Arabidopsis thaliana: one gene and its partners. The protein of the gene in region 1 purifies or fractionates together with the protein of each later gene. This does not show direct contact. Each region holds a gene or a part of one and is shown in the gene's direction. Other genes may lie near its edges. The genes, in order: LHCB4.3, PSAG, PGRL1B and AT5G19760.

Evidence for each region.
Region 2: the proteins of LHCB4.3 (region 1) and PSAG fractionate together in Arabidopsis thaliana (co-fractionation; one large-scale study listed by BioGRID). This does not show direct contact.
Region 3: the proteins of LHCB4.3 (region 1) and PGRL1B fractionate together in Arabidopsis thaliana (co-fractionation; one large-scale study listed by BioGRID). This does not show direct contact.
Region 4: the proteins of LHCB4.3 (region 1) and AT5G19760 fractionate together in Arabidopsis thaliana (co-fractionation; one large-scale study listed by BioGRID). This does not show direct contact.

Annotation. Positions count from the first base shown.
Region 1 is NC_003071.7:16,740,922-16,748,059, forward strand, and holds LHCB4.3 (light harvesting complex photosystem II), read left to right. Parts: upstream 1-4,706; 5' UTR 4,707-4,962; coding exon 4,963-5,475; intron 5,476-5,579; coding exon of another isoform or gene 5,580-5,624; exon of another isoform or gene 5,625-5,706; intron 5,707-5,951; coding exon 5,952-6,269; 3' UTR 6,270-6,503; downstream 6,504-7,138. Other genes in the region: AT2G40095 (Alpha/beta hydrolase related protein), read left to right, coding at 2,186-2,465, 2,589-2,869, 3,466-3,534. UniProt on the Arabidopsis thaliana protein: The light-harvesting complex (LHC) functions as a light receptor, it captures and delivers excitation energy to photosystems with which it is closely associated.
Region 2 is NC_003070.9:20,801,029-20,807,481, reverse strand, and holds PSAG (photosystem I subunit G), read left to right. Parts: upstream 1-4,032; 5' UTR 4,033-4,100; coding exon of another isoform or gene 4,101-4,125; coding exon 4,126-4,608; 3' UTR 4,609-4,812; downstream 4,813-6,453. Other genes in the region: AT1G55680 (Transducin/WD40 repeat-like superfamily protein), read left to right, coding at 188-325, 461-628, 732-818, 1,015-1,149, 1,237-1,347, 1,454-1,545, 1,627-1,732, 1,921-2,007 and 1 more; AT1G55675 (uncharacterized protein), read left to right, coding at 3,302-3,628; AT1G55673 (uncharacterized protein), read right to left, coding at 4,101-4,511; AT1G55660 (FBD, F-box and Leucine Rich Repeat domains containing protein), read right to left, coding at 5,142-5,429, 5,511-5,651, 5,739-6,453. UniProt on the Arabidopsis thaliana protein: Not yet known.
Region 3 is NC_003075.7:7,173,219-7,181,821, reverse strand, and holds PGRL1B (PGR5-like B), read left to right. Parts: upstream 1-3,933; 5' UTR 3,934-4,112; coding exon 4,113-4,278; intron 4,279-4,648; coding exon of another isoform or gene 4,649-4,694; intron 4,695-4,776; coding exon 4,777-4,889; intron 4,890-4,976; coding exon 4,977-5,073; intron 5,074-5,161; coding exon 5,162-5,262; intron 5,263-5,366; coding exon 5,367-5,423; intron 5,424-5,549; coding exon 5,550-5,626; intron 5,627-5,727; coding exon 5,728-5,779; intron 5,780-5,885; coding exon 5,886-5,996; intron 5,997-6,229; coding exon 6,230-6,327; intron 6,328-6,412; coding exon 6,413-6,482; 3' UTR 6,483-6,496; intron 6,497-6,584; 3' UTR 6,585-6,936; downstream 6,937-8,603. Other genes in the region: AT4G11970 (YTH family protein), read right to left, coding at 1-88, 181-416, 509-599; AT4G11950 (transmembrane protein, putative (DUF1191)), read left to right, coding at 7,563-8,546. UniProt on the Arabidopsis thaliana protein: Ferredoxin-plastoquinone reductase involved in cyclic electron flow (CEF) around photosystem I. The homodimer is probably not involved in CEF.
Region 4 is NC_003076.8:6,676,753-6,685,171, reverse strand, and holds AT5G19760 (Mitochondrial substrate carrier family protein), read left to right. Parts: upstream 1-3,117; 5' UTR 3,118-3,326; coding exon 3,327-3,443; intron 3,444-3,847; coding exon 3,848-3,931; intron 3,932-4,176; coding exon 4,177-4,238; intron 4,239-4,342; coding exon 4,343-4,704; intron 4,705-5,211; coding exon 5,212-5,426; intron 5,427-5,524; coding exon 5,525-5,581; 3' UTR 5,582-5,866; downstream 5,867-8,419. Other genes in the region: TUA3 (tubulin alpha-3), read left to right, coding at 698-810, 893-1,107, 1,185-1,384, 1,496-2,004, 2,096-2,411; AT5G19750 (Peroxisomal membrane 22 kDa (Mpv17/PMP22) family protein), read right to left, coding at 6,045-6,125, 6,428-6,514, 6,625-6,717, 6,808-6,880, 7,036-7,130, 7,407-7,494, 7,699-8,048; AT5G19740 (Peptidase M28 family protein), read right to left, coding at 8,405-8,419. UniProt on the Arabidopsis thaliana protein: Catalyzes the transport of dicarboxylates, such as oxoglutarate, oxaloacetate, malate, and succinate, and of tricarboxylates, such as citrate, isocitrate, cis-aconitate, and trans-aconitate by a counter-exchange mechanism across the inner mitochondrial membrane.

The DNA of each region.
Region 1 (7,138 bases):
TAGGTTTATAATTGTGCCACTATTTTGGTGGAGTATAATCAAAGGAGAAAGCTTTATAAGCGACGAGTGCATGTTTTTGGTGAGCTGATATGTCTTGACTCTTGACTTGAGAAGTTTCTTCAACTTCCGGTCAGTTTCGTAGGCCTATAAACTCTTGACTTTCAGCTCCTCCCTCTTTATTTTGGATGGTCCTACTCTAATTATTGATATGCAAATCTGACCGTTGCTATCACAAGAAACAAAACAAGCAAAGAGACACATATTTGTTGTTCGGTTAATTAATTCTCATCATCGGAGTTTGGTGACAATTTGTAATTATATATTCCAGGTAAGAATAATCTGTCACTAAATCTAATTTAGAATGTTCAGCTGGAAAACAACAAAAACGAAATAAGTTTGGAAAAATTCTATTAGAACATATCCTGATTTCCGAAATTTCCTAAGGTTTTGCTTAACAGTCAATATATACATATATCATTCCATTTACGAGACAAATTGTAAATGATCAACAATTGACTAGTACATACACTCACGCAAAGATATACGCGTACAAAGTAAAGAGTTACGACTTTTTTATTAGTTTGTTTGTGTAATAACTTGGCAATGCTTTCTTTATAACAAACAAGTAAATTAAATTCCTATCGAATGTTTTGAAAAGTTTGATAAGAAAAGGCAATCATTTCCTATCTTTATATTTGGTAGCATTAGACGAGAAAACAATGAAAGATCACAATCAAACACAAAATAGTTATTAAAAAAATTGGATACGATAGTTCACTGTTTCTTTTAGTACAATGAAACAAAAAAAAAATAAAAAAAAATAACACCGTAAGATATAAGTTAGGGTAACAAACGGCATGCATGTGGTCACATGGCTGAAATCGGTCGGTTCCTCCATTCCCGTATATGTTTGTGTTAACGAATAAACGAGTCTCGGTTCATTTCTTCGGCGGGAGAGGATGGGTCTAACATTATTTTACTAGTAACAATTTAATAAAACGATAAACATATATTGTGATGATTTTAAAATATTCCAATCCATTATATATTATATACAAATGAAATCAAGAAAGAAAGAAAAAATGTTCCAATTATCGAGTTTTGTTTATGCTTCACGTTATTTAGGTTTTACCGTTATTACACGGAGGCTGAAATCTGAAGACTCCGAACACTATTTTGTTTTAATTTAATACACCAGTCAAAGGATTCAAAGAGCTGGAAGTTTCTCTCAACATTTTTTTTTCTAGAATGTTTCAGTTTCCAATTACTATTTAAGATTTTTCAGTTGGCTAATTTTTATTTTATTTTAGTGTGAATGAGAGAAATAAATAATTTTACAAAAAAAATTATTAAGAAAGTAATACAAATAAAAATTCAAATATGAATAGCCTCATTTTTGTGTGATTATGATTAACATTACATGTATCCTTAATTTTAAGAGGGTTGAGAGCGTTTTATCTATTAACGAGACATTTAGGAGATTCAGATGATGGAAGATCAGAGCATCTACCAAAAAACTTTGCTTACTAAAAAGTATTTAGGAAGCAATGTTTTGGAAGTTTTACCTCAACAATATTTACGAAAAAGCTTTCTTTTGATGTTTTTAAGTATTATTACTCAGCATATAAAGAAACAACTGAAATTTATAAATAGAAAGTGGAAAATAATTAACTAACCCACAAATCCTATATTCATCAAAATTATGTATGAGGATGTAATTTCATAACATATAAATTGTGGATCTGTATCAATCGTCAATATCAATAAAAAAATTAGGATAGATCGACGAATGAATTGACTTTCATTCATCTTACGATTCTTTTAAAAATTAATCAAACATGATTTACATACAAGAAAATTAAATCAACAACGAAAACATTTATAGAAAAGAAATATTCAAAAGATTTTTATAGAAAGAATAAAATTTAATAATTATATTATATAGAAGAAATCCATAGGTAAAAAGATATAGACAGATAAAAATTACCAAACTAATCCAAAATTCTATATTCATATAAATATTCCAAGTCCAACAAGGAAAAATCATAATAGTATAAATTAATCCCTTAGTATTTATCTTAGCATCATCATCGCCGTCATCGTCACTTTGTCTCGTCCACCTTTTAAAAACCCTCTCTAAAGTCTCCGAAACATCTTCTCTCTTAAACAAATCCTCTCTGATTCGATGGGTTTTAGCAAAGAAGAGATTAGTAAAACCAGAAAGCTTTGGTCATCTCTATGGAGAGGAATCAAAACTATATTCGTTTTGTTCACAATGTTCTTCTCTTTTCTCCTTGTCTCTGCTCCTATCTTCCTCGCCGTCGCCGATGCTCTCCTCCCTTCCGCTCTCCTCCACCGCTTCTCTTCGCCGGCGACTCTCTCTTCTCATCTCACCAACTACGATTTCCGTCACTCCCTCATCGATATTCCTTTAATCTCAATCATTAGATCCGCTGTTATACTCTGTGAGTAAAAAAAAGATTCAAACTTTACAAAACCCAAAAAAAAAACAGAGCAATTGCTCTGTTTGCTCTGTTTCTGAAGAAATCGAAAACTCATTTCTTTAGTTTGATTTTTCGTGTAAACAGGTGTTTATGGACTCTGTGACGGACCAAAACTATCGAGAGGACCGTATCTGACAATAACAATGATTTGTTCAATATCTTCTCTAATCTACGTTTCGTTAAAAGCTGCGTTTGTGTTCGGTGAGCCAGCGATCGGAGACGGAGGAGGAAACTACTTCAGAGCGGCGGAAGTGGCTCTGTTTCTATGCTCGTCAGTCTTAGCCATAGGTCACATCGTTGTGGCTTATCGAACAAGTTGTAGAGAAAGAAAAAAGCTTCTCGTCTTCAAAATCGACATTGAAGCCGTAAGTCCACTTCTCCATCTTCTTTTTTTCCGCCGTTACAGAAATTTATTATTTTATTATATTTGATTGATAATCGATGTAGGGCCAATAATACCAAGTTGCATTTACTTTTTTTCAAATCTAGGAATGAATTAGATTTTTAACCTGCAATGGGTCAGAGTCAGAGATAGCATGTGAATGTATATTAGTCAATGTTGAATATTAAACACATTTTTACACATTTGGTCCTTTTGTGATTCTAGAAACTCGATGAGATTTGTCTTTCCGATATGTTTGGTTAGGAAAAGACTCTACTTGGTGAGAAGGTTTTCAAATGAAACTAAGAGAAAACAAAATTGAAGTTTGGATTGGAAAACTTTCTTATAGAGTTATAGTTTTGTTTTGTAGGTTAGAATTTCATGTGGAAACCGTGTGGCATGTAACCTAATTTTCTTAGTCATTTTATAATAAGATAATATCCGACATGACACGTCACACCTCACGCATGCATGCTTCATGATTGTTTTCATGGAGGCAAAACCATCAAACCTCTTTCTTCGTTATAGTTATTATCACCAATGGGAAAACTAATGTGTTTTGATTGATCCATTTTTCAGGTTTCGGCTTGTAAAAACGTGTACCCGAGATACCAAAAGATCTTATTACAACAAGAGAGACTCAAATAGAGACGTATTTCCAAGAGAATCAATACTTGTAAATATATACACATACCTCAACATGTAAATAAAACTAATATATAAAAACATACGGCGTATAAATGTAACTTCTCCTTCTGCCTTTCGGCGTTGACCCATCAACTCCTTCGCTTTTAAGTTTCAGGTAAACCAACCTAATCTCATCCTCTTCCAATGTTCTTGCTTACGTATTTGTTATTCTTCTTCTTTTTTTGAATAGAAATGATTTCTATAATATTATTAATTGGGAAGTGACATTATGGACGTTACAAAGTTGAGAACCCTTTTGCTGATAATGTTTGTTTATTTGTCTTTTTTTTTTCTTTAACAGAAGGATCCAAAGCAAAAGGAATGGAGATTAATTATATAACCTATGCTTTTTTAAATGAGACATTTCAGATGAACTGGCAGTTGTTAGCTTTAACATTATATTAGTTAGGGCGATTTGTAAATAATCCAGAGTTCCTCAATGAGAAAAGAAGCCCAAGGCTGTCTCTCCGTTTTGTATATATGTTTATGTTTGTATTTCTTTGTGGTTTTAATATATGTTTTGTAATTGTAATTTGTAAGCATAAGCACATAGTATGTGATACGTCCGCGTGGATTTCTTTATACGTCACCAAAATCTCTAATAGAATCGTAAAGCAACCTTTTTACGATCATTATCTATTTATCTTAACTTACATTCTAGATATTTGCATTAATCAAAGATATCTCAATCTATTTAACAATCTTATAAGAGAGTCTTTGTCTATTGCAAACTCTAACTTCCTATCTTTTCGTGTAAATAACTTAAGACTGTGAGGATGTCTAAACAAACCTTACCAAGTATAGGGAGAAATAGACACCAATTCGGTTTGATTTACTCAAACCAAACACCAATTTGAAAGCTGAGAGGCATTTTAGTTCCAGTTATATGATAAAGTACTAAACACAAACCAAAACCAAAGTATTGGCCTAAAATATACCAAGCCAAAGTTGTAGACCAAACTAAATGCTGGACTTACTACTAGACAATATCGGAAACACGATTTAAGAGGCATTTTGTAGTCGATTAATGGGCTTCTATAAATGGGCTTTAGGGGGACAGAACTTCAACTGGGACCAAAATATTTTCTCTTTTGTGAAATCGACAAAAGAAATCCTTAAAAACGAAAGAAAACAAAAGAAAGAAAATACCTTAAATGCAGACACCTACCATAAGGACGAAAGAGAGAGTGCAACGTCATTAGAAAGTAGCCAGGCCACAAAAGAAAAAAGGTAAAGAGAGAGACCAATCACAGGAGATAACGCTAAGATAAGGCTTCTTACATTTACCATCACATATAACATAACGTTACTATTATTCTAAAATCCAAAAAAACTATATGTTATAACATTGGAATCATCAGTCTCTAAGCAGTATCACACCAACTCAATATGGCTACCACCACTGCAGCAGCAGCCTCAGGTATTTTTGGGATCCGGATTCAAGATCCTAGACCTGGAACCGGTAGGGTCCAAGCCCGGTTCGGGTTCAGTTTCGGAAAAAAGAAACCGGCTCCACCGCCAAAGAAATCAAGGCAGGTCCAAGACGATGGAGACAGACTAGTTTGGTTCCCCGGCGCAAACCCGCCGGAATGGTTGGACGGATCGATGATCGGAGACCGTGGATTTGATCCGTTTGGTTTAGGTAAACCGGCTGAGTATCTTCAGTACGATTTCGATGGACTTGACCAAAACCTTGCCAAGAACGTGGCGGGTGACATCATCGGGATCATCCAAGAATCTTCGGAGATCAAACCGACGCCGTTTCAGCCGTACACTGAAGTCTTTGGGATCCAACGGTTCAGAGAATGTGAGCTGATCCATGGAAGGTGGGCCATGCTTGGCACTCTAGGCGCCATCGCCGTAGAGGCTCTTACAGGAATTGCATGGCAAGACGCCGGAAAGGTACACTCATACAGTCGCCGCTAACGTAATTTGACACGTGGACAGTCTCGTCATTAGTTGAAACTAAATTAGCATTTGTTAAATTAAAAAAAAATGAGGCATAGGTGGAATCAAGCCAAAAAAACATGCATGCAAATTTTAACCACTAAAATGGAAATAGGTTTAGGCTTTTGGTTTTGGAGTTTTGTTCAGATTATTTGGAGTCTGGTATTTCGAGTTCTTTTGATTTTTGGATTTAACAAATATGAGAAAAATAAAGAGAAAAATTAATTTTAGTTAGTACTATATGTTTTAGTTTGTTTCAATGCATTTAACTGAAAGTGTTAAATTTTCCAATGATTTTAATTTTTTATTCGGTTGGATTCGTAAAATTGAGTTTAGTTTGGTTTATGAGATAAAAAATTGCTTTGCTATTCGAGTTATTATAAAACATGAATTCGATTTTGAATTTATGCATTTCGGTTTGGTTCGCCTAGGTGGAATTGGTGGAAGGATCATCGTATTTGGGACAACCATTGCCGTTCTCGTTGACGACGTTGATATGGATAGAAGTGTTAGTGGTCGGATACATTGAGTTCCAACGTAACTCTGAACTGGATCCAGAGAAACGGATTTACCCGGGTGGGTATTTTGACCCGTTGGGACTCGCGGCTGATCCAGAGAAGTTGGATACTTTGAAGCTGGCTGAGATAAAGCACTCTCGTCTCGCTATGGTCGCATTTCTCATCTTTGCTCTTCAGGCGGCCTTTACCGGCAAAGGCCCTGTCAGCTTCCTTGCCACCTTTAACAATTAGTTAATGAACCTTTCTATCTTTATTTTATCAAAATAAAATTATACTTCAAAAACTGTATAATGCATGTTACGCTATACTTATAAAGAAGTCTTTTATTGTTTCGTGTCGTACTATCGTTGGAAATTTGGTTGTCACATCAATCGTTCAAAACCGGCCTCTAAATGTTGGTCTAGTGGCTTACGGAAATAAATATCGAAGTATTTATTGTTTATGTTCTAAACTAATATACCGTGAATATTCAACATTTTTATAAAAAAGATTATCATATCGAAATTCGATATACTTGACCATCCAATAATGGCTTGTATTGCTTTTTTTTGAATAATCAAATCCTTCTGTCGTATTCTTAAGACCATACTAGTATTATCTTATTTTTGATAAAAGATAAGATACGATATTGGAGCCAAAAAGTAGAGTTAAGATATGATATTTTCTTGATTACTAAATAACAGAAGGGAGAAACTATTGTTAGTTTGAGCTTAAGTAAGAAAATATATGGTTATTATGGTTTAATTTTGCATGATTACTACTAATAACTAAATATTCTGTTTATCTGATCTCATTATACATGTAGATACTATTTGTTGCTTTTACAACAATTGTAGCAATGAAAGAAAATTAGAAATTGAAGAAAATCTTGAAATGAATAGACAAAGGAATAAAGAAAGTGTAAGAAAGCAATAAAATAAACATGAATATAGAAAATGCAATTGGCGAAGAGTACACGTTGTTCCACTTTTCTGGAGAAAAAAGTGAATAATTGAAGAAAAGACGTTATACCTTCCCCATCCACATTTTCTTGCTTAACTGCAGAACAACACCAAATTCGACCCTATCAAGTTTTGATTCGTGTCTACATAGAAAGAGTC
Region 2 (6,453 bases), on another chromosome or scaffold:
TATAATCTCATGGAGTCGTAATCTATTAGGTGTTTTCATGCTTGATTGTTCACTAAATCACATTTTTATGTTTTAAGTATGTTGGTGTTATTGGATTCTACTATATTGTAGCTTCTGTGGTCCCTGGCTTTCGTAGTTTTTAGTAATAAAGGTGCTTTTTGATATATGTAGGTTTATCAACTTAAGAATGTCTAATTATCAAGGGGATGATGCTGAGTACATGGAAGATGTGGATGATGAAATGGATGAGGATGATTTAGATGAGGATTTTCGTGGGGATGATATGGCTGCCTCTGATTCCGATGTCGATGAGTTTGACTACTCTGTAAGTATTCCTGTGTGAAGTCTAATGTAAATTTGCTAAGCTATTTTTAAAATTCCTGTGTCAAATGTATAGCTTTAATGTCAATTAATAATTTCTGCAGTCTCTTACTCTGTTGTGTGGGTTCTTTGGTTTCAGAATAATAAAATAGCTGACACTTCAGCTGACCAAGCCCGGAAAGGGAAAGACATCCAGGGGATTCCTTGGGACAGGCTTAGTATTACGAGAGAGACATACAGACAAACTAGACTAGAACAGTATAAAAATTATGAAAATGTCCCTAACTCTGGGGAATCTTCAGGGAAAGTAAGTCTTCCATTCTCTATGTCTCGTAGGTTTTCTTTTTCTTCTATATGTTTCACTAATATTGGGTTTCAACTGATACTTATCATTTGCTTAATGAATTCAGGATTGCATGGCCACACAGAAAGGGGCTCTTTTTTATGATTTCTGGCGGAATACAAGATCTATCAAATCAAGTATTCTTCATTTCCAGGTTCATATTATTTAAACATATCTATTTTCTATTGAGTCAATGTTTTTTTGGTAATTCCATCAGTATGTCATGTGTTTGGGTAATGAGGGTGCACAAATTGCTACAACTGTCTACCTAAGTTAAAGCTTAAAAGATATGGATTCATAGACTATTTTTATGCGGACATCTAACTAAAGTTGTTTTCTTTTTATTGTAGTTGAGGAATTTGGTTTGGGCAACTTCTAAGCACGATGTCTACCTTATGTCACAATATTTGGTGAGCCACTATTCTACTTTGACATCCGGAAAGCATGATGTTCTCAATGTTCAAGGTCATGTTTCCCCATCTGAGGTTAGTTTCTTCCTGAATGATATAAGATTCCTCTATAAATACCTACATCAGTTTAATGGTTGTTGTCTTTTTCTTGTGTGGGTGCAGAAACATCCTGGAAGTTTGTTGGAGGGATTTACAAAGACTCAAGTGAGTACACTCGCAGTGAGAGATAAATTTTTAGTTGCCGGTGGATTTCAAGGAGAACTTATATGCAAGGTAAGCTCTAGAGTTTTACAATCATGGATTTTTAGTTTTTCACACAACAATTACATGCATTCTAATCAAGGAACTTCATCTTTTTCCACATTGATTTTATTTTCAGCATCTTGATAGACCTGGTGTGAGCTTTTGTTCACGTACTACTTATGATGATAATGCTATAACCAATGCTATTGAGATTTATAACAAACCCAGGTATTTGCATGTCTTTTGCTTGAGGTTGTATTTGCCAACTTGTCTCTTCTAACTGATTTTTTGATGTCTGTCTGTCTGCAGTGGGGCACTTCATTTTACTGCGTCGAATAATGATTGTGGAGTCAGAGATTTTGATATGGAGAGATACCAGCTTGTTAACCAGTTTCGCTTTCCATGGCCGGTGAATGTAAGTCCCTACTTTTTCCTTGATTTTTTTTTTGTTTTTGTTTTGGTATAAGTTGATCTGTAGTGCTTGTAGCAGTAAGTTTCAGTTACAAATACGTTTTGTAATCTGATATCTTCTTTTACATTACGAAATTGTAAATGTAATTGCACCCCAAATTATTTAACGAAAGGGGGTTTTTGTATTGATAGCACACATCTTTAAGTCCTGATGGTAAATTGTTGACGATTGTGGGAGACAACCCTGAAAGCCTTCTGGTAGACCCCAACACTGGAAAGGTACAGAAACGATCTCTGTGTTACGTATCCCTGAATAAATATGCTTTCTAACTAAATTTGGAATTTTCTACAGACACTGGCAACGCTATCAGGACATCTGGACTTTTCCTTTGCATCAGCATGGCACCCAGATGGATTCACGTTCTCCACAGGTAACCAGGACAAGACCTGCCGGGTTTGGGACATTCGTAACCTGTCAAAATCTGTTGCTGTCTTGAGGGGTAACCTTGGAGCAATCCGATCCATTCGCTACACATCTGATGGGAAGTACATGGCCATGGCTGAGCCGGCTGACTTTGTCCATGTGTATGATGTCTCAAACGGGTATGAAACGGAGCAAGAGATCGACTTCTTTGGGGAGATCTCGGGAATATCATTTAGCCCCGACACAGAAGCACTCTTCATAGGCGTTTGGGACCGCACTTACGGAAGTCTAATTGAGTATAGCCGGCGCCACAACTACTCCTACCTTGATTCATTTCTATGATCACCCGACATACCAGAGGAATAAAAGAGCCGATACATATGTGCTGCTGCACTCTCCTGTCGCTCTGTTAAACTAAGAAACCCGAGAAAAGAGAAAACATAAACTCAAGTCGATCTCTAATGGTGTAAATGATGTGTTGTGCAAGTACTAGTAGGAATGTTGTCACAGAGAGCGGATTTAGTTAGTTAATGTTCATTTCTTGTATGAGTGTTGGAGTTCGTGTATTGTACATAAGTATATGAGGTTCGGGTGAGTTTGCATCAAGTCTCAACTCTTGGCAAAGAGACAACTTTACTCGAGTCTGTGGCTCGTTATTTGGCTATGGTCACTTGTAGAGGAACTCAATTTGAGATGTTTCTGCCGATTGTTGGATCAAATTATATATCATGATGTTTCATAATATTTCTGTTTCCTAGACTATTAAAGTGTATCAATGGTAAGTTTCTCTCTCTCTTCTCTCTTTAATATCTTTTAGAGAAAGCTAAACTTTCCGATCAAACCTTTGCCTTCTGGTTTGATTCGAAGGCTCATGTTCCTCACATAGTGGGCTCGTGTCTGGCATCTCTGACTACTTTAGCGGAGTTGGCTAGCTTTCTTCTGACAGCGATGGCTTCCTTAGCGTCGTCTTGGTCGGCACCACTCCGGAAGCAGTAGCTTACATAGTATCGTCTTGACCGGATTTCGGGTTTGTCTCCGCCGTTGTTATGTTTTTCTTCCAGTTGTTTATTTACTTACAATAAATTTTATTAGGGATGTGTTGATAATATCGATTGAAGCGAATTATCGCTTAATGAAGTGTATTATTCGATGCTTTTACTTTTGAGTTTGCAATTACAGGAATTGATTCATAGCTTTTCAATGAATTATGGACTCTTATTGGCTTTGATCAATTTTTGTAAAATCTGTGCCGCTGTGTTTTTGGAATTCGGGAATCAATTGTCTTTTGGAAGATCCTTTCTTTGCAAATTTGATGATGATGTTTGTTGGGATTCTCTAATTAAAAACCGATGGACTTCTGTGTTTAAAGTTCTAGCTGTTTCCGGTGGCTTTGGAGTTTTCCGGTTGTTGCTGAACAGATCGGCGATGAACGGTGACGAAGAATCATCTATCCACGTCTTCAACTTTATTTGTTAGCATTCCACGTGGCTTTGCAGTCGGGAATTATTTAGCTTACTTCCTTAAAGGATTATGTTTCTCGATTGGGCTTTTCTCGTTGGGCCTATGGTTATAAGTTTGTTGGTTTTAGTTTCATATGTATCAAGACCTGTAATATTGAGTTTTTACAACACAAGTTATAAATAAAATACAAACACTTTATGAGAAAAAAGACTATTAAAGTGTAGATTATGGACTAAATCTTTTAAAAAAAAGATAGTAGGTTCTTCAAAGTGTATCCTACTAAATTACAAGGGTTTGAACGCAAATATTTCTTTGAAAATCTCATAATCCAGAAAGAACCAACGAGAGAATGCCACATCATCCATCCGTAATCGTATCCTCACAAACAAAATCTTCTTCTGCTTCTTCTCCTGCTTGCCAGAATCCAAAACCAAACCTTCAGATCATAAATCCAAAACCACTCATTTTTCTATTACTGAAATTTTTCTTAGAGAAGAAGAAGAAGAAGCAAAATGGCCACAAGCGCATCAGCTTTGCTCTCACCAACCACATTCTCCACTGCAATCTCCCACAAAAACCCTAACTCCATCTCATTCCATGGCCTTCGTCCCCTCCGTCTAGGTGGCTCCTCCTCCGCCCTACCCAAACTATCAACCACCGGGAGAAAATCCTCCTCCGCTGTCGTGAGAGCTGAGCTAAGCCCTTCCATCGTCATAAGTCTCAGCACAGGTCTCTCCCTCTTCCTCGGCCGTTTCGTCTTCTTCAACTTCCAGAGAGAGAACGTAGCAAAACAGGGCTTACCGGAGCAGAACGGAAAAACCCATTTCGAAGCTGGAGATGATCGTGCTAAGGAGTACGTCAGTCTCTTGAAATCGAACGATCCAATTGGATTCAACATTGTTGATGTTCTTGCTTGGGGTTCTATTGGACACATCGTTGCTTACTACATCTTGGCTACTTCCAGCAATGGATACGACCCAAGCTTCTTTGGATGATTCGTTTCAATGTCAATCTCTCGTATATGTATATGTATATGTTTGACTTGTGTTGCAAGCTATCTAATCTGTTCTCTATCTCTGTTTCTTCTTCTGTTGTTGTTGTTGTTGTCTAAGACTTGTCCCTCTTTTTGCAAATGTTTTATTTCTCCATTTACAAAGATTGGTTTGCAGAGTTTTATAAGAAGAACATAATAGTATATACACTATGGAAACAGAGAGATGAAATCACATTTTTACTTGCGCTCAAGATTTCGATTTAGTTTGAGCTAATGTTCGTATGAAAAACTTAGGTGATTTGGTGAAGCTAGTTTCATACCTAAGAGAGAGTCTAGATGTAAGATCTCAGAAAGATAAAGCCAATGTCTCAACAAAAACAGTATGCTCAAAGATAAAGTATACAAAAAGAAAACCAAAAACAAAGACATAAACCTTAAGTTTAGATCAAGTTACGGCTGCAAATAAAAAACCATTGTAATAAAGGAGGGTAGTGTCTATGGAAATGAAAGTTTGAATCCTTATGATTCACATCCTCAATGGAAGAAGACTTGGCATGTTTCTGGACCTTGAAAAGAAAGTGACAACTCCTCGATCATCTCATCTCTTGTTTCTTGAGCATATGTTGTCGGAAAAAAGATTGTCGCAGACTTTAAGCAGCGAGCATTTTTCAAGATATATTTAGCTACATCCATCTGGTTCTGCAGCAATCCATGCATCTCACTCCAACGGAACGTTTCGAGACTGGACAACAAACATGTAGGAACACAATTCAGCTGATTGTCCCACTGATTTGGTAGATCCGTACGCCCATTTGGATGATCCTGTGATCAAACATGAGAAGTTTGGCTTAAACATTATAGTTAATTGAACCAAGAGTATAGGTCTCTAAGGAACAAACTTACTTCTATCACGTAAGCCTCGAGCTCTCGTAAATTGGGAGAGCTTTTGAGTAATCGGGCAAGTAAAATTGACCAATCTGAATCACATGAACATATCTTCAATTGTTCAAGCTGGTTGAAGACAAGACCCTCATGATATAAAGACTGCATAAGATGACAAAAGATTCAACTTCAAGAAAACCTGGTTTATTGTTCAACAATGAGATGGATAGAGTGATGGAAACAGATTACCTCTTCGGTGTAGACTCCCAAGCATAACGAAAGACGCTTAACAGATGTGATTGATCCAAAGAACTTTTTGATATTTTGGAATGTCAATACAAAATCTGCCTCCTCCAACTTAGGCATATCTTCAAAATCGTAGAAGTATCGAGGACTATCACTGTCACTCTCATCATCACTATCACTCTCTAGCCTTTCATCAATGACTTTCAAATACTTCAAAGAAGGAGAATTCATCTTAAGCCCATCAAGATGACAAGGACGAGACATCTTTAGGGTTAGTCTCTGCAAGGACTTGACAATCACACTCAATTTCCCCAAATTGTCAATTTTATCTCGTTCCATAACTAGATCCTCAAGAACAGGGCAGTTGGAAAGAAGTCGGTGAAGAGAATTTGCATCCGAGTAAGTCACACGTCCAAGGAACAATGTTTTCAGGGAGGGGAGACATACCTTACGAGGAACATCAACGAGAATCTCGTCTTTCAGTTTCAAGATCACAATCGATTTGCATTTACATAAGCTTTTGGGCAATTTAGTTGGAAGCTCCGCAAAATTAAAAAGCTTTAGACTTAACTCACGGACGTTGCTAACATGAACTGCAAGTGAAACCCAGAGATAAATATCTTTAGGTTTAATTGATCCAATTGCTCCATACCTAAACTTGAGACTCAAGCTTTCAATAGCCGGAGCTTTATGTACTCGCAGACTCGAAGTAATAAAT
Region 3 (8,603 bases), on another chromosome or scaffold:
TCCAACCCACAGGAGACAACATCTCTGCATACCCTTGGAAGAATCCGCTCATGTTCACGCTGAAGATTAAAATCACTCGACCAGATTTCTACACAAAGACTATAACCTCAGTATACCAGAGAGGCTGACAGTAGATATAAGATTATAGAGCGGTGCAAACTAAAAAGGAGAGATTCTTACATGAAAAGCGCCTTCCAATATTGGCTCATTCATTACTTGAGTAGCCCAAATCCCTTTCTCAACTGAAACTTGAATATTATCATAATTCAGACTTTTGATGATGAAATATCTCGTTCGATACCCTGGTTTACTATTCTTATTCGCCTTTGCACTTTCAAGTTGATCAGGAAAGTTACGTCGATCAACATCCACCTTTGACAGTTTATGGTCTTCCTTGCTTCTGTAACTTGTACTCTCTGACAAAATTACAACAAGAGACAGACAAAATAAAACGCAAATCTCCATGTAAAAAAAAAAAGTGAATAACAAAACATGCTTCAAAGTTTACCTGGATCATCAGAGTTTCCTAAATCTTGTTTCCAATCAGTCAAAGACGAATCGACAACAGAAGCATTTTCCTTAGCAGTATCAGAAGACATGCCTCTTTAAAACCTATATTAACACACAAGAACAACAACACTCAATTAAAACGATAAAACTTGACAGCAAAAGGAGAAAAATGAATATCAATCAAAAGCAATAAAATATCAATCACCACCACAAACAGAAGTCACACTAAGCCATTTAAAAAACAAGAATAAAACATGTATTGACTCAAATCAGAGTGCAACTATAAACATAACCAGAAAAAATCTCACTTTACATGTTCAAATTATCTACACTCCAATGATAAACTAGTGTAGTTAGTAAGCATTTTACCAAATCAATTAGCATACTAACAAGAAGTAGTTAGTGATCATTACTCATTAGTCTACTACAATGATAAACTAGTATCCATGAAACTAACTTCGAAAGTTCAACACTAACCAGAGAGATACTATTTATAATCGAAATGACATAAAGTAATTTTCTTCACCTAATCAAAACAATTCAGTAGAAAACCTAACTCTTTCTCTATTTCTTCTTCCCCATAACCAAACAGAATGTCATAAAGCATAACAATTCAAAAGAACTAGTATCAAATTAAATTCTGAAACCCATTTCTTCCTCTATTGACTGTGCCCCATAACCAAACAGAACCCATTGAACAGCCAACAAATTACAGTGTGAGAATATGAACAACATAGAACAGTACAGTTACCAGTAGAAGAAAAAAACGAACCTTGGATTATCAAAAGCTTTTGGGATAACGAATGAGAAAGAACACAAGTGAAGAAGAAAATTCTATTTAAAAATCCAAGAAAGCCCTAATCTTTCTCTGTTCGCTTCTTCTCTGTGTTTTGTATTCTTATTTTGTTTCTTCTTCTTCTTCTTCGTCTCTCTCTCTCTCTGGACTTGGGCTCTGACAATGGTAGGGTTACGTGTAGGTGAGGAAAGATGAAAATTGAACGGACAAGATGCGATTAGTGATATAATCTAACGGTACAGGATTTGGCTGTTAAAGGGTTAAGTGAACCGCTGGTGGTGTATTGTTAAGTAAAGATAAATGGGCTACCTTCAAATTTCTTTTGACGTCGAGGCCTACTTCATTATTAGGCCCACTCACATACGATCAATTACCAAATACCTAATATGACTTTATTTAAAAACTAGTTGAGAAGTTAAATTTGTACTAAACAAAATATATACTTTGGGTGCCTAAAAACTTAAAATCTTTGAAAATTTAAGCTATCCAATCAAAATAGTACATATTGAAGGGGTTGTATAATACTCAGTCCACAATTCATTTGGTTTTATTATATTATAGAAACAAAAATAATAATTAACCAAGATAGGAGAAAAAAAACTTTGAAAATAAAATAGAAAAGCAAAGAGTTCAAAGTAAACTCTAACCAAATTAAAAGATAAAAAAAGATATAAAAGCATTTTATATTTGGTTAGTTCACCAAATAAAATCTCAAATTCATCGAGTACATCCAAGATTTGGGGAGATTTATGTTGATTAGTCCATTTAAAGTAAAAAAAAAATGTTAGTCTATTCTGACAAACTATTAATGTTAGTAGATGAATAATCATGCTATGCATGAGTTGTTGTTTTGAAAATTGTTAAAAATATGTTGTATGTTCTTTGTTGCTAGTTTGTGTAGTTACATAAATATTTAGATTCATCTTATATAGTTACAATTTTTATGCTTTGATTCATCTTTTGACGTAAAATATCAAGTATATATTTTTCATGTGTAATATAATTATCTATATACATAAGATCTTAATCTTTTTTTTGCTATCATAAATACATAGAATAACAATATAAGATATATTGATATAATAGTTGTAATTATAATTGAGTTATACATTAGCATGATTTTGTATTTTTCAATTTTTTTGAAGAAATAAGTTAATAGTATTGATGGAAGATTTAATGATGTGGAGGACTTTTGATTTTCTTAACTTAATTTTGCTAAAATTTTTATTGAATAATATAAAAACACATGTAATTTTCTTGTATGATAATGTGACATTCATATGGAGAGAGTTAACCAACTTTCATATATATATTTTTTTCGATTCAAAGTAATTCTATGACATAAATTTTGTGAATTATTTGTGCATTATAAACTTAAAAATTTATTTGGTTATTTACATGGGACACCCGTGTATCGAAAAGTAGAGAGAAGATTGAACAAAAAAGCTAACAAACTTTATTTATCTCAACAAAATATTGTTACAAGCGTTAGTTAGAACTGTGTATCATTAAGCTTATATATATTTGAACTTAAGCTCACTTAATCAAAGTTAACCAAATATTAAACCAACATTAAACCAGCGAACCATACATCATAATACGCCTCTCTCAAGTCTTTATCTTCGAAGTGTCTGGTTTCCGAAGATAAAAACATCTTCTTGAGTAAATGATGAAATGACCCCGGATGTAGTGGCTTTGTGAAGTACAACTATCCACAATTTTCATTTATAATATCTAATGAGAGCATATCCGACAATGTTATAAACATTTTCTATCGATTTGTTAGTGGTTTACAAACCACCAATGACAATTTATTTCATGATAGATTCATTGTGTTTTAACTTATGGACAACCAGCATCACAATGATTGTTTTTGTCTATGGTTTGAGTCACAAGTCCGATTCATAATTGTTTGTAAATAAATATTTTTTTGTTGACTAATAAATATTATATTACAACTTTTTCTTGCAAATTACTAAAACTCAAGATTCTTTTTCATTTTTTCAAACATATATATATATATATATATATATATATATATATATTACAACAAAATTCTCTTATAAATTATTAAAATTCAAATTTTTTTATCGCAATTAGTTCCTTAAGAGAACTTATAAATAAATTAAGTCTTACATACAAAATATGTTTTCAAAAGAGTACAATGTGTTTGTTGGTTTTGCTTTCGTGCAATATCATGAAATATGTTTATGGTTTCTTAATTATTTATACCAATAGGTGATTCACCACATGATGATGCATATGTACAATTTATCTATTATAATGAGTTTACTATCTTGACTCCCACAAATCAAAACCCTTATTTTTCTTTACCGTTGTCCGTTGAGATGATAAAATAATAAACTAAAAATGATTGTACATATTTTTGTTATGATTTGAGTTAGAGTTTTTTTTTTTCGTTTATTTCAATTCTACGTAAAAAAAATTATATAAAGAATTCATTTTATTTGTGACTAATAATATCTAAATATTATAATACAATATTTGTTTTTGGTAATTTACCAAAATTCAAGATTTTATTCTTATTTTTTTCAAAATCATGACGTGGAACGCTAGACGATCCAACTTCGCTTATCTCCTCCTAATTTTCCCTCCAATTACACGTTGAAACAAAACAAAACAAAAAAATCAGAAGGAACCTGAAACTATCTCACACAGTAAAAAACATCACCATCTCAATTCTCAACCACACAAATCCAAAGCTTCTAACTTTTTTTTTTGTTCTTCGTCCCGGACAAGAGAAAACAACGATCTCACTCAATCATCGGCGTGAGGGATAAAGACGATGGCTTTTACTCTAACAATCCCTAGATTTTCTGCAATTTCTCGCAAACCCATCACTTGTTCTTCTTCGAGGACACAGTGTCCTGCTCCCTTTACCCATGGACGATCGATTTCTCTCAGACGAAGACTTACCTTATTGCCCCTTAAAGCTTCTACTGATCAATCAGGTCTCGATTTTTATTTGCCTCTTTAAAGTTTCGATTTTTTTATTTGTTTTTGCCTCTGATCTTTCTTTGGGAACGAAATTGGTGTGAAAAGTTGAGATTTTTATGATCATAGAAGATAATTAGATAAATGATTTCCAATTTGTAGCCTTTTTAGGATTAAAATTTGTGTGTAGCTTAAGGTTCTTAAGTTATTAACTCATCGTTATGTGATCGAAACAAAAAAGCACTCAATCTTCAAATTTAGTTGAGAAAAGCTGTTGTATTGTAGCTTTGATTTTGTCTCTGATCATTGTTTGGGAACACAGTGGCTTTTGAGAAAGTTTTGATTTTATTCAATCATAGAATAAAATCACTCAAGCTTTAATTCTAGTTAAGAAAAGTTGTTATATGGAACTTTTTTCCTCTGTGGATTTTTAGTTTTTATACTCTAATCCACTAAAAGATTGCTCCTTGAGAGTTTCCTTACTTCTTAAAATCATTTTTATGACTTGTCTTCAGGTCAGGTGGGTGGGGAAGAAGTTGATAGCAAGATTTTACCTTATTGTAGCATCAACAAGAATGAGAAGAGAACTATCGGTGAAATGGAACAAGAGTTCCTCCAAGCGATGCAAGTAACACATCAAATAAAGTGTTTTTATCATTAGTATGGGTTTATCTCTATATAATCGAGGATTGTTTCTGTTTCTTTTCTTTTGCAGTCGTTTTATTACGAAGGCAAAGCGATTATGTCTAATGAAGAGTTTGATAACCTTAAAGAAGAGTTGATGTGGGAAGGAAGCAGTGTTGTCATGCTAAGTAATGAACACTTATGATTTATAGTTTTGTCAATAATCCATTCGCCTAGGTTCTTGATTCTTGATCTAATTTTATCTATGTATTGTAGGTTCTGATGAACAAAGATTCCTTGAAGCTTCAATGGCTTATGTCTCTGGAAATCCAATCTTGAGTGATGAAGAGTATGATAAGCTCAAAATGAAACTAAAGGTTCTTAATCTATTTATACTTACAAATACTATTTCTTAGTTTCATCCATCTTGTTACATGTGTAATTTGGACAAACGTTATGATTGTTTCTTTGGTTTCTGTAGATGGACGGCAGTGAGATTGTGTGTGAGGGTCCAAGATGCAGTCTTCGTAGTAAAAAGGTAAAAACTCTTAATTGTTCGGATAGCTCATATATTCTTTGGACATTACAGAACATAACATTAGATTCATTGTTTGGGACAAACTCTAGAGATGTTATAGACTTGTGGACCTCCTTGATTATGCAGGTTTATAGTGATCTTGCCATTGATTACTTCAAAATGTTCTTGTTGAATGTACCAGCAACTGTTGTTGCTCTCGGACTGTGAGTACCTCCGGTTCTGTTCCTCTCTCAACTTTCAAATCACATGATCTTAGCTTATGTTAGTTAGTTTAAAATTGTTGTTTTCTTCAATTGTTCTCCAGATTTTTCTTTCTTGATGACATTACTGGTTTTGAAATCACGTACCTGCTCGAGGTAAAACCTCTTTCGACTATTCTACTATGGTTTGGAGAATATATACTCGTAGTAATTGTTCCAGTATTCATGCAACTGATTAAAAAACAAAAACAAAAATCTGCAGCTTCCGGAACCATTCAGTTTCATTTTCACATGGTTCGCTGCGGTGCCTGCAATTGTATATCTGGCGTTATCACTCACCAAACTGATCCTCAAAGACTTCTTGATCTTGAAGGTAAAAACATTAATCATCTTCCAAGATCAGTTCATGAAGTGGAAAAATAAAAGTTATAGAACTAAATCTTGTTTTCTCAGTATCAAAAATGCTTAAACAAGAGATTAGACTTGAGATAATAATCTATTTTGTGCTAAACGCTACAAATTTGGATTGGTATAGTGCCAAATCCTACGAGTTTTATGCGATTATTATGAAATGCTTTTAATTTTCGTGGAACATATCTTTCACAGGGCCCTTGCCCAAACTGTGGAACAGAGAATGTATCTTTCTTTGGAACGATACTATCCATCCCCAATGATAGTAACACCAACAATGTCAAATGCTCAGGGTAAGCTTCTCAGCTGTAGACTCGAATCGATCACACAAATTGTCTACAACGTTTCTTGAAGTCTTATGATTCTTCTGGTTTTTAGCTGTGGAACGGAGATGGTCTATGACTCAGGTTCTCGTTTGATCACATTACCAGAAGGAGGGAAAGCTTAAATCTAAGAGCCAAGGTTTAATTCTTATCTCAACTTTGATTTCTGATGAAATCTTTCTTGATTCAATGGAAAATTCAAAATTTTAGGGTTTTCTTTTTCTCAGGGTTATGTAGAAGTGTATGTAAAATTAATACTAACAAATGAAGAAGGTGGAGAAATTGAAGAAGAAGGAGAAAAACCAAAGTTTGTATGCTGTTTTGTATAATCTTCAGATCTTTTCATGTAGCTCTCATTGGCTTGTGTTGTGTTTGTAAGTAAGTGTGAGGCACATTCAAAGAAAAACATCATATGATTACTTCTTTGAGAAACTTTGCTCTCATTAGGAAAGTAAAATAATTCAAGAAATAAGCACAACCTTGTGTAGTTTTGAAATAATACTTGTATTTTTTTTGTTGTTATAATTTTGAATGTGTTCCATAATATAGTTTCGTTAATCCATGTGAAAATCAAATATGATGTTCTAAATCATTTATAGGTGCTAGTCAAGGCCAGTCCAAGACTTTTTGACTTTTGTGATTCTATAGTTCATTTTAGTATGATTTCTATTAAGAAGCTGATAGATAGATAAAAGTGGGGAACATGTAATAAGAGTTAAGGATTATTACAAAGGAAAAAGTCATACAAATATTATAGCATGCCAAATTCTATCTTTTTAATAAGAAAAAGGTGCAATGATGATGATGACATCGTCGTCGTCCCATGCCCTCTATATCATCATTTACCTTCCTTTTTTTTCTCACCGTTTAGACATTTCTAAATGTATCATTTTAGGATCGAAAGAATATAAGCAATTTACAAGACTACAAAGTGTGTATAAAGTAAAATGTCACGAGGCTAGAAGAAAGTAGGATAGTATTCTAAGCATTATAAAACATCGGTCATGCTTATTCATTATTATGTCTTAAGGATTAATAAAAGATACATAGTATATACTATATACTGATCATGTCTGTCCCCAAAACACATGCCAACAAAGTAAAACACAATCAATATACTTCTCTCTCTCTTTCTTCTTGATCACTTCTCTCTGCAAAACCTAACTACTTCTTCATTCATCTTAGAATCATTGGGTCCTCTTCACATGGGCTCTATACCATTTATCTTCATCATCCTTCTTTTTCATGTACATAAATCCAAATCTCAGACCATTGAATCAGCACATTTTCTTGATCTTATGATCAGAGATTACACCATTAGAAACTTCAACATACATTTCAAGACAGGTGCTATCCAGAAAGTCCATCTTCCTTCGAATTTCTCCTCCATTGATATCGCCACAGCTAAGTTTAGATGTGGGAGTTTGAGAAGACACGGTGCAAGAATTGGAGAGTTTCACTTAGGTCCGGGCTTGACCGTGGAGCCATGTGTTGAGAGAGTGATCCTGGTGAGACAGAACTTGGGGTTTAACTGGTCTTCTTATATTTACTCAACCGGTTATAACTTAACCGGTTACAAATACCGGCTTGTGTCTCCTGTTCTTGGTTTATTGGCTTACAATTCAAATCCGGACGGTGTTGCTGTGAATCCTTATGAGGTTAACGTAATGGGCACGGAACAAAACCCTATTTTGATCAAATTCTTAAGCAGTGAGGCAAGTGGTAGCCCTAAACCTAACACGAAGAAGAACTCATCTGTCTTGTGTGCTTGCTTCACAAGTAACGGTAACATAACGTTTAGAGAGCAAGTTTCAGCTTATGTTTGCTTGGGAACAAGACAAGGGCATTACGCGCTTGTGATTAGAGCTCATGATAGTGGCGGTGGCGGTAGTACGGTGGTAACACCGTCGTCATCTCCGGCTTTGACTGACGGTGGCGGAGGGAAATTGAGCCGGTGGAAAGTGGCGGTTGGGAGTGTGATAGGTTCAATAATTGGAGCGTTTCTGTTAGGGTTATTGGTGGTGGCGATGGTAGTGAAAGGGAAGAAGAAAGCGATGAGAGAGGAGATGGAGAGGAGAGCTTATGAAGAAGAAGCACTTCAGGTTTCAATGGTGGGTCATGTTAGAGCTAATCCTAATGCTTCGAGATCAAGAACGATTCCAAGATTTGAAAATACTAGGTATAAGTAACAAGTAACAACATACTTAAATTAGGTATCTTCCTTCTTGATAAGATGTTTTCAATTT
Region 4 (8,419 bases), on another chromosome or scaffold:
AAATTCATTATGTAAATACATATTATATGTATATTTAATTTTAGACACATATATTTGTTTGTTTTATTATGCAATTTTTCATTCTACAAATTTATAGTTTTGCAAATTTTTATTCTCCTACTTATGTCATTAAAAGGATTATACGGGGTTATCTCAGAACTTGTGATTTCAAATCTTGAAAACACGTTTTACGTAGTCAATATTTATGTAAGTTAATTAATAAATAAATGCACTAAGAGAATCAAAATCTTATAACAAAGACAACCTTACATGACGTTTCTTTTCTGTTTGGCGCTTACAAAAACATCCTACTATAACCAATAGTTATTTAAACCACTAAACCCTAATTTAACCTATAATATCGATTTAGGTCGGTTAAGCTATTATTTACCTCACTCATACTAACGAAATACCTAAATTCCGGTAAGTTATTTAAACCGGATAAAAATCGACACCTTCCAGATCTAGATCCAGATCGAATCTCACGTATTTTGTCTATGCCCAGTCCCAAAGGCAGGCTGTCACAACTTGGCGGACCCCAACCAATTATCAAATCTCATTCAATAAATAATCAATTTCCCACAAAAATCATGGAAATTAGGAAAAAAAGAAGATCTCGCTCACCGCTCTCATTTCCTCAATTCTCCGTCCGTCGAAGAAGCGAATCGCTCGAAATTAGGGTTTCTACTGAGAGAAGATGCGAGAAATCATAAGCATTCACATCGGACAAGCTGGGATCCAGGTCGGAAATTCGTGTTGGGAGCTTTACTGTCTCGAACATGGAATCCAGCCGGACGGAATGATGCCGAGGTATAAACCCTAATTCACTCTTTGTACTCTGTTTCTGTGGATCGGAAGATTTTTGAGATACGAGTCTTTTGCGTTGTTGCAGTGATACTACAGTTGGTGTTGCACACGATGCGTTCAATACTTTCTTTAGCGAGACTGGTGCTGGGAAGCATGTCCCTAGGGCTGTCTTCGTTGATCTCGAGCCTACCGTTATCGACGAAGTTCGTACTGGTACTTACCGTCAACTTTTCCATCCAGAGCAGCTCATTTCTGGGAAAGAAGATGCTGCTAACAACTTCGCTAGAGGACATTACACTGGTGAGAATCCACTTTCTGCTTGTTCTAACTTGTTAGGGTTTTTGAAATGGTCCTTAGAATGCTTCTTGTAATTGCAGTTGGGAAGGAAATTGTGGATCTATGTCTTGACCGTGTGAGGAAACTTGCCGACAACTGTACTGGCTTACAAGGGTTTTTGGTGTTCAATGCTGTTGGTGGTGGAACTGGTTCTGGATTGGGTTCTCTGTTGCTAGAGCGTTTGTCTGTAGATTATGGAAAGAAGTCTAAGCTTGGTTTTACCATATACCCTTCTCCTCAGGTACTCTTTCTTTTGCTAGACACTGAAGTAGAAACTCTTACATGACATGTTTCTATAGTGGTCTAATTTGGATGAAACTTGGTTTTAATGCATATTCCTCTGTGATGTCAGGTTTCTACTGCTGTTGTAGAACCTTACAACAGTGTTCTCTCAACGCATTCCCTTCTTGAACATACGGATGTAGCTGTCCTCTTGGATAACGAAGCCATCTATGACATTTGCCGCAGATCCCTAGATATCGAGAGGCCAACCTACACAAACTTGAACAGGTTGATATCACAGATCATTTCATCCTTGACAACATCTTTGAGGTTTGATGGTGCCATCAACGTGGATATCACTGAGTTCCAGACCAATCTTGTCCCATATCCCCGTATCCATTTCATGCTGTCATCTTATGCACCAGTCATCTCAGCCGCCAAGGCTTACCACGAGCAGCTATCAGTCCCTGAGATCACCAATGCCGTTTTTGAGCCAGCTAGCATGATGGCAAAGTGTGACCCGAGACACGGAAAGTACATGGCCTGTTGTTTGATGTACCGAGGAGATGTTGTTCCCAAAGATGTTAATGCTGCTGTTGGCACCATCAAGACAAAGAGGACTGTTCAGTTTGTTGACTGGTATGATCTAGAAATGGATAAAGCTGCTACTGTTTCTACCTTCATGTTGTTATTATATAATAACTCCTTTGGCATGGGTTTTGTTTTGCAGGTGCCCAACTGGGTTCAAATGTGGAATCAACTACCAACCTCCAACAGTTGTTCCAGGTGGTGACCTCGCTAAGGTTCAGAGAGCTGTATGTATGATCAGTAACAACACAGCAGTTGCAGAGGTGTTCTCACGGATCGACCACAAGTTTGATCTCATGTATGCGAAGAGGGCATTTGTCCACTGGTACGTTGGTGAAGGAATGGAGGAAGGTGAATTCTCTGAGGCACGTGAAGACTTGGCCGCACTGGAGAAAGATTACGAAGAAGTTGGTGCTGAAGGTGGAGACGATGAAGAAGATGAAGGTGAAGACTATTGACACCTTTTCTCAAAAAAACTGCAACCAAAAAAAGTTTTTTCGTTTATCTGTTTTCACTTTTGATTCTGTTGATTGTTTAAATCCTGTAAAATATTCGTTCGGTCTTCGTGTTTTATCTCGGTTGGATACATTTTCATTGGTAGAGCGACCATTGCGAGTTCCCGAGTTCATTATCAAGCTTTTGTTGTACCAAACTTTGATAATCTTCTTACAACTGTCCATTTTTCCTTGAAGTATAATCTCGTCTATCGGTGCGCTAACGTTTATCAACGTTCTGTATATGCTTTGTTGTCGTATCAGCTAATAATACATTTATGAGATTCAACTAATGTTAACAAACCACGTTGATCTTCACAAAAGGGCATCAGAATTATCAAATTGCATCAGAAATACTGCTCCACTGGTCCACTATCTAAAATACGGCGTGAAAAATGCCAAAAATTATTGAACAAATACAAAATACAAATACAGAAGATCAATTTTTTTAAAAAATTAGAATTTATTGGACCCAAAAAATTCAGAATACTAACGATTTTCAACTTCATACTAGAAAATTAGAAATGGACGAATGTCAAATCTAAAATTCATATGAATGCGTAATAAATAACTCTAAATATTTGGATTGCGTAAAATCCGAATGGTGAAAAGTAAAGTCCAAATTAATAAATTTAGAAAATATGTCTGGCTTAGATCAGATCTCATATGCAAATGGAAAAAAATAAAAATTAAAAAGGCAAGGGTTTGGTGCAATTTAGTTTCAGTTGGGTGGTGTTAATATAAAAGGCCCATAAGCTTCACACTTCATCGTCTCCTCTCCACCAAGTGAATCTCTTTCTCTCTCTCTTTTTCTCCGCGGAAGGAATCTCTTCTTCTGGTTGCGTTTGAGTCCGTACGAAAACAAAAGAAAAGAGAGAGATGGCGGAAGAGAAGAAAGCTCCAATCAGTGTCTGGACTACCGTGAAGCCCTTCGTCAATGGCGGTGCCTCTGGTATGCTCGCTACTTGCGTTATCCAGCCGATCGACATGATTAAGGTCTGTCAAATGTTTACGGATACACGTTTCTGTATCACCCATCTCTATGTCTAAGCTCGTTAGTATTAACAATTCTTGCTTGATTTGCTGGTATTGATACCTACGAAATCCGTAAATGTTGTTCATCAGATCCGAGTCTGTAGATTTTATCTCTCAGATCTGAGTTTTTGTTTTGGCTTATTATAATCAAATTTCATTGCTCGGAACATAGTCAGACTCGTTTGAGTGTGAATTGTTGCTATTGATACATGTTTAGATGAAATGTTCTAGTTCAGATCTGGATTTTGATTAGAATAACGTTCTTAGGTTCATCACAATGTGTGATTCTTCGCCTGTGTTCATAGGATTTTTAAATGATGTGAATGTAATTAACTAATACTTTGTTTTGTTTCTGGTTGGTGAAGGTGAGGATTCAACTTGGTCAGGGATCTGCAGCCAGTATAACCACCAACATGCTTAAGAATGAGGGCGTTGGTGCCTTCTACAAGGTATAAATTGCATTTCTGGATGCATTACTTATCTTGAAGATGTACGTTTTGTGTAGTATGTTTTCTATTGATATGTTCATGACTTTTGTTGATTTGTAATGTATATGATTTCTGCATTTCCGGATCTGAGTCTCAGCTATTCAAAGAATTAATTTCCTTATCTAACAGTCTTTCCAACAACAACATTAGTTATACCCCATTGAAGATGTCTCCTGAGCTTATTTGATGTTAATTTTTTTTAATAGGGATTATCTGCTGGGTTGCTGAGGCAAGCAACTTACACGACAGCCCGTCTTGGATCATTCAAGTAAGTTAGTCATTCGTCTTTCGTCTTGAGCCCATCCAGATGAATAGATTTTTATTGCCTTATGGTTATGGATAAATCATCCTCTCTTCTGTCAATCTTATTAGGTTGCTGACTGCAAAGGCAATTGAGTCTAATGATGGAAAGCCTCTACCGCTGTATCAGAAGGCACTATGTGGTCTGACAGCTGGTGCTATTGGTGCTTGCGTCGGTAGTCCAGCCGATCTAGCACTTATCAGAATGCAGGCCGATAATACTTTGCCGCTAGCTCAGCGCAGGAATTATACCAATGCTTTCCATGCGCTTACCCGTATTAGCGCTGATGAGGGAGTTTTAGCACTTTGGAAAGGGTGTGGGCCCACTGTGGTCAGAGCTATGGCTTTGAACATGGGAATGCTTGCATCTTATGATCAAAGTGCTGAATACATGAGAGATAATCTTGGTTTCGGGGAGATGTCTACGGTCGTAGGTAAGCTGCTCTTCCAAGTTTCTCATACAGTAAGAATATATTTTTTCTGTGAGCAGGTAGATAGCAGTTAGAGTCAAGGATCCTAAGAATCAATCGTCTTGGAAATTTACATTTGTAGCATATAATCTCCTGATTACACGAGTGTTAGATTGTCATAAATTAAATGTGTATTTCACTTAATACAATCTATCCAAGAACTACACCAAGGAAAATACTTTATTAATGAGAGGACTCTCTAAACTCTCAACCGTTGCCCAAACCCAGATCTAAGACCAATCCAGAATGGATCCCATTGCGTTGTCCTTACTCCCTTTTAAGAGCTACTAATTGTAAGGTCGCTCAGTTGGCAAAACTACACTTTTCTCAACTTCCTAGGCTTGTTACACTAGTTCTGCACTAGACTTAACAAGAAACCTTTATCAGTATTTTCATATGGTCATGTAATCTCTGTATGATAAATTGTAGTTAAAATAGATCTCTGAGTTTGGTTTTTGTTTACTTTAACAGGAGCAAGTGCTGTTTCTGGGTTCTGCGCTGCGGCTTGCAGTCTGCCATTTGACTTTGTCAAAACTCAGATTCAGAAAATGCAACCGGATGCTCAAGGAAAGTATCCATACACAGGTTCGCTCGATTGTGCGATGAAAACCTTAAAAGAAGGAGGACCTCTGAAATTTTACTCGGGTTTCCCAGTTTACTGTGTCAGGATTGCCCCTCACGTCATGGTATAATAGCTCTTATCTCCCTTTTTTGTTTATGTTATTGTAATTACCACTTCGTGATTGCCTCTAAGATAGTTGTTGATCGGGTTTTCTTTTGGCAGATGACATGGATCTTCCTAAACCAGATTACGAAATTTCAAAAGAAGATTGGTATGTGAGGAACAAATACAGCAGCAAAAAAATAAGATGAGAAGAACGAAAACACAATTGGAATTGTGTTCATTTGCTTTTTAATCATATACATAACCTGCCTTAAAAGCATATTATTGTAGCTGTTTGAACTTTAATTTTTTGTTTCGGTCGGTGATTGGTCCGGTGAATTTTAAATTTTCTTCTTTGGTGGAAGTTTAAGACACATAGCCAGAGATTTCAAAATTTTCATACGAACTAAAAAAATTCTCTGAATGAGGAAACAATAAATATATGAAACATTGATGATGGGGAAATATTTGAAGTGCTTGAAGAAAAGCTTGTTTCAACTCTAAGAAAATGTCAAGTGCAGGGTTCCCAAATAATTGTTTCGAAACACCAAACATTTGCATCAGCAGACAAGACCGTTTCCCCAAAACTCTGCCGATAACAATCCAGCAACCACCTCTAGGCTCCAGGTAAGAAACATGTCTACTTTGCAACAACTTCTTTGTGAGCTTTGAATGATAAAATCACATTCCAAGCCAAAGCCACTACGTTTGAAGCAAGTACCTGCAATAATTCATATATAAGACATCGATTCATCCTCAAAGCCAAAGAAAATCTTGCTAAGCATACTAGCTAGAAGCTAATGTCATTCAAGCGTAATTCATCTCAAGCTCATCATGTCAAAGATGTTTTTAACAAGGGCTCAAAAACATGAAAATGCGTAATAAATTCTCAAAGATTATACTAAGCAGAGGATTAACAGCGTGTGGGTCGTTATTCGTTATGTATGAAGCATATCTATCTTAACCCAATTGTATTTTTTTTCAGACTCCCGTTTCATGTAGTCACAGAGTTTAGTATCAAACCTGGTAGTTCTGTGGAACAAATCTGAAGTTAAGAAACTGAAATGGTATCCATAGCTGCCAATTTGCTATCATTGCACCAGTCCACTCCTATACAACCAGCAATTCATGGATTCAATTAGAACACCGCAAAAGATACAAAGTATCAAATTTAGATTCCTGCACCGGAAATATTAAGTTTAGTTAGGTTTTAATCCAACCTGTTGTAGCTTCGGTATGACATTTGATGGTTTTCCTTCAAGTGTCACAACTGCTGATAAGAAAACTCCAACAAAAATAGGAGCAAAAACAAACTGCAAATACAAATTTTGGTGTTAAGTGCTAACACAGAGGAAGCAAGATGGGAACATAATTGTTAGACTGGGAACAGGAAACTTTGCTACCTGATCCAGTAGAAGTCGTATAACTGCGCCTGATAATCCAGAAGCTGTCACCACTTTGCTCAAATACAAATACCTAATGGATGGAGTTGAGAGATTTCAGAGAACAGAGAATAAGCATAAGTAATATACCAATGGATGCATAAGTCTCTTCAACTGAAGAACCACTAGCAGAGACGTAATATAGTTAGCTTTTGCGGTGTCATACGAGTGAAAGGTCCACGGAAATACCAGAAATGCAATGTTGGACCGACTAGCCCTAAGCCCAAGAAGGTAAAGGTGAGTGTCCTCTTCTTGTCCAGCGATGAGGTCTTGTTGATAGTAAGCTGCAACCAAAAGTGATACGAATAAGCAATGTCGCTCACATATCTAGCAGAATACGATCAAGCATTATAAAGAAAATGGGGCTTTACTACATTATCCTGTATTTTGGGTCTATTAGCTTCCATTCTAACTTTAAAAAAGAGATAGCACAATTCAAGTTAAAGTCTGTCTGTTCAGAAATACATAATGCAGCAGCTCATGAATACTGTTTTATCTCGATATATCCTGAATAGTGAAGAATCCAAACTTCAAAGATAGCACAAAAATGAGAGAGTTACCTGACAGATCAAATCTCCAACGAGGTTCAAAAGTGCTGCGGTCACAGCTTTGGTCAAAACAGGAGAGTTTGAGAGAAGAGCCTGGTACCTGAAGCACCATAGAAAAAGGCACACAAAGTGTGTTTATGCTCAAGTCAAAAGCAAAGAATCATACTAGAAAAAAAGTGTTCCGTGAGTAAATTATTAACACATCCAAGAAAAATTTCCAACATCTGCTTCAATGAATTGCTTTTCAAAGAAACATCTTTACACAAGAACAGGAGTAGTGACAGGAGCAAGTAAGAAAAATTACCATGAGAGAAGTGACCACTTCTTTCCTTTTCCGTCGCTTCCATCACCACCACCGCCGCCGGAACCACCACCACCACCGCCTGAACCACCTAACCCGCCAGAGCCACCTGAATTCCCACCTGGGACCGCAGAGACCCGGACTAGATGCCCAAACGCAGTCCCAGAACGCCCCGGCCAATTGCTCCGACCACACTTCAGTGAACCAACATTTTTGTACCCAAACGAAAGAGCCTTGCTCGAACTACCTTCCGTTATAGTTCTTCGACCAAAAGACGAAGAGTGATTACCTGAAAACCCAACAGAGTTGAACGGGAGTGGTGGTTTCCGGGTTAAAGTGATAGAGTTAAGCATCGTTGTTTCGTCTGGTCTGAGACTGAACGGCGTTGACTCTAGCTTTTACAAGTATAGAACTCCTGAATCTAGCTTCCGGTTGTATTTTGGGCTTTTATATGGGCTTTAGTAATGGGGTTTTATATGGGTCTTCATATGCTGATATGCATCGAAGCGACGCCGGAGTGTATTGATCTCACCGGAGGTTTTCAAAGCGTTTCAGGGTTTAACTTTAATCAAAAGAAACAAATTTTAAGCAAAAGAAATAGAGGAACTACAAAATGTAAACACCAAAACTGAATAAACTTGTGACAGAATCTTATCTGCCTTCATTATGTTCACATCATTGTGCTGAAGCAACAAGAGCATTCTTGATCTCATATCAGTTCACC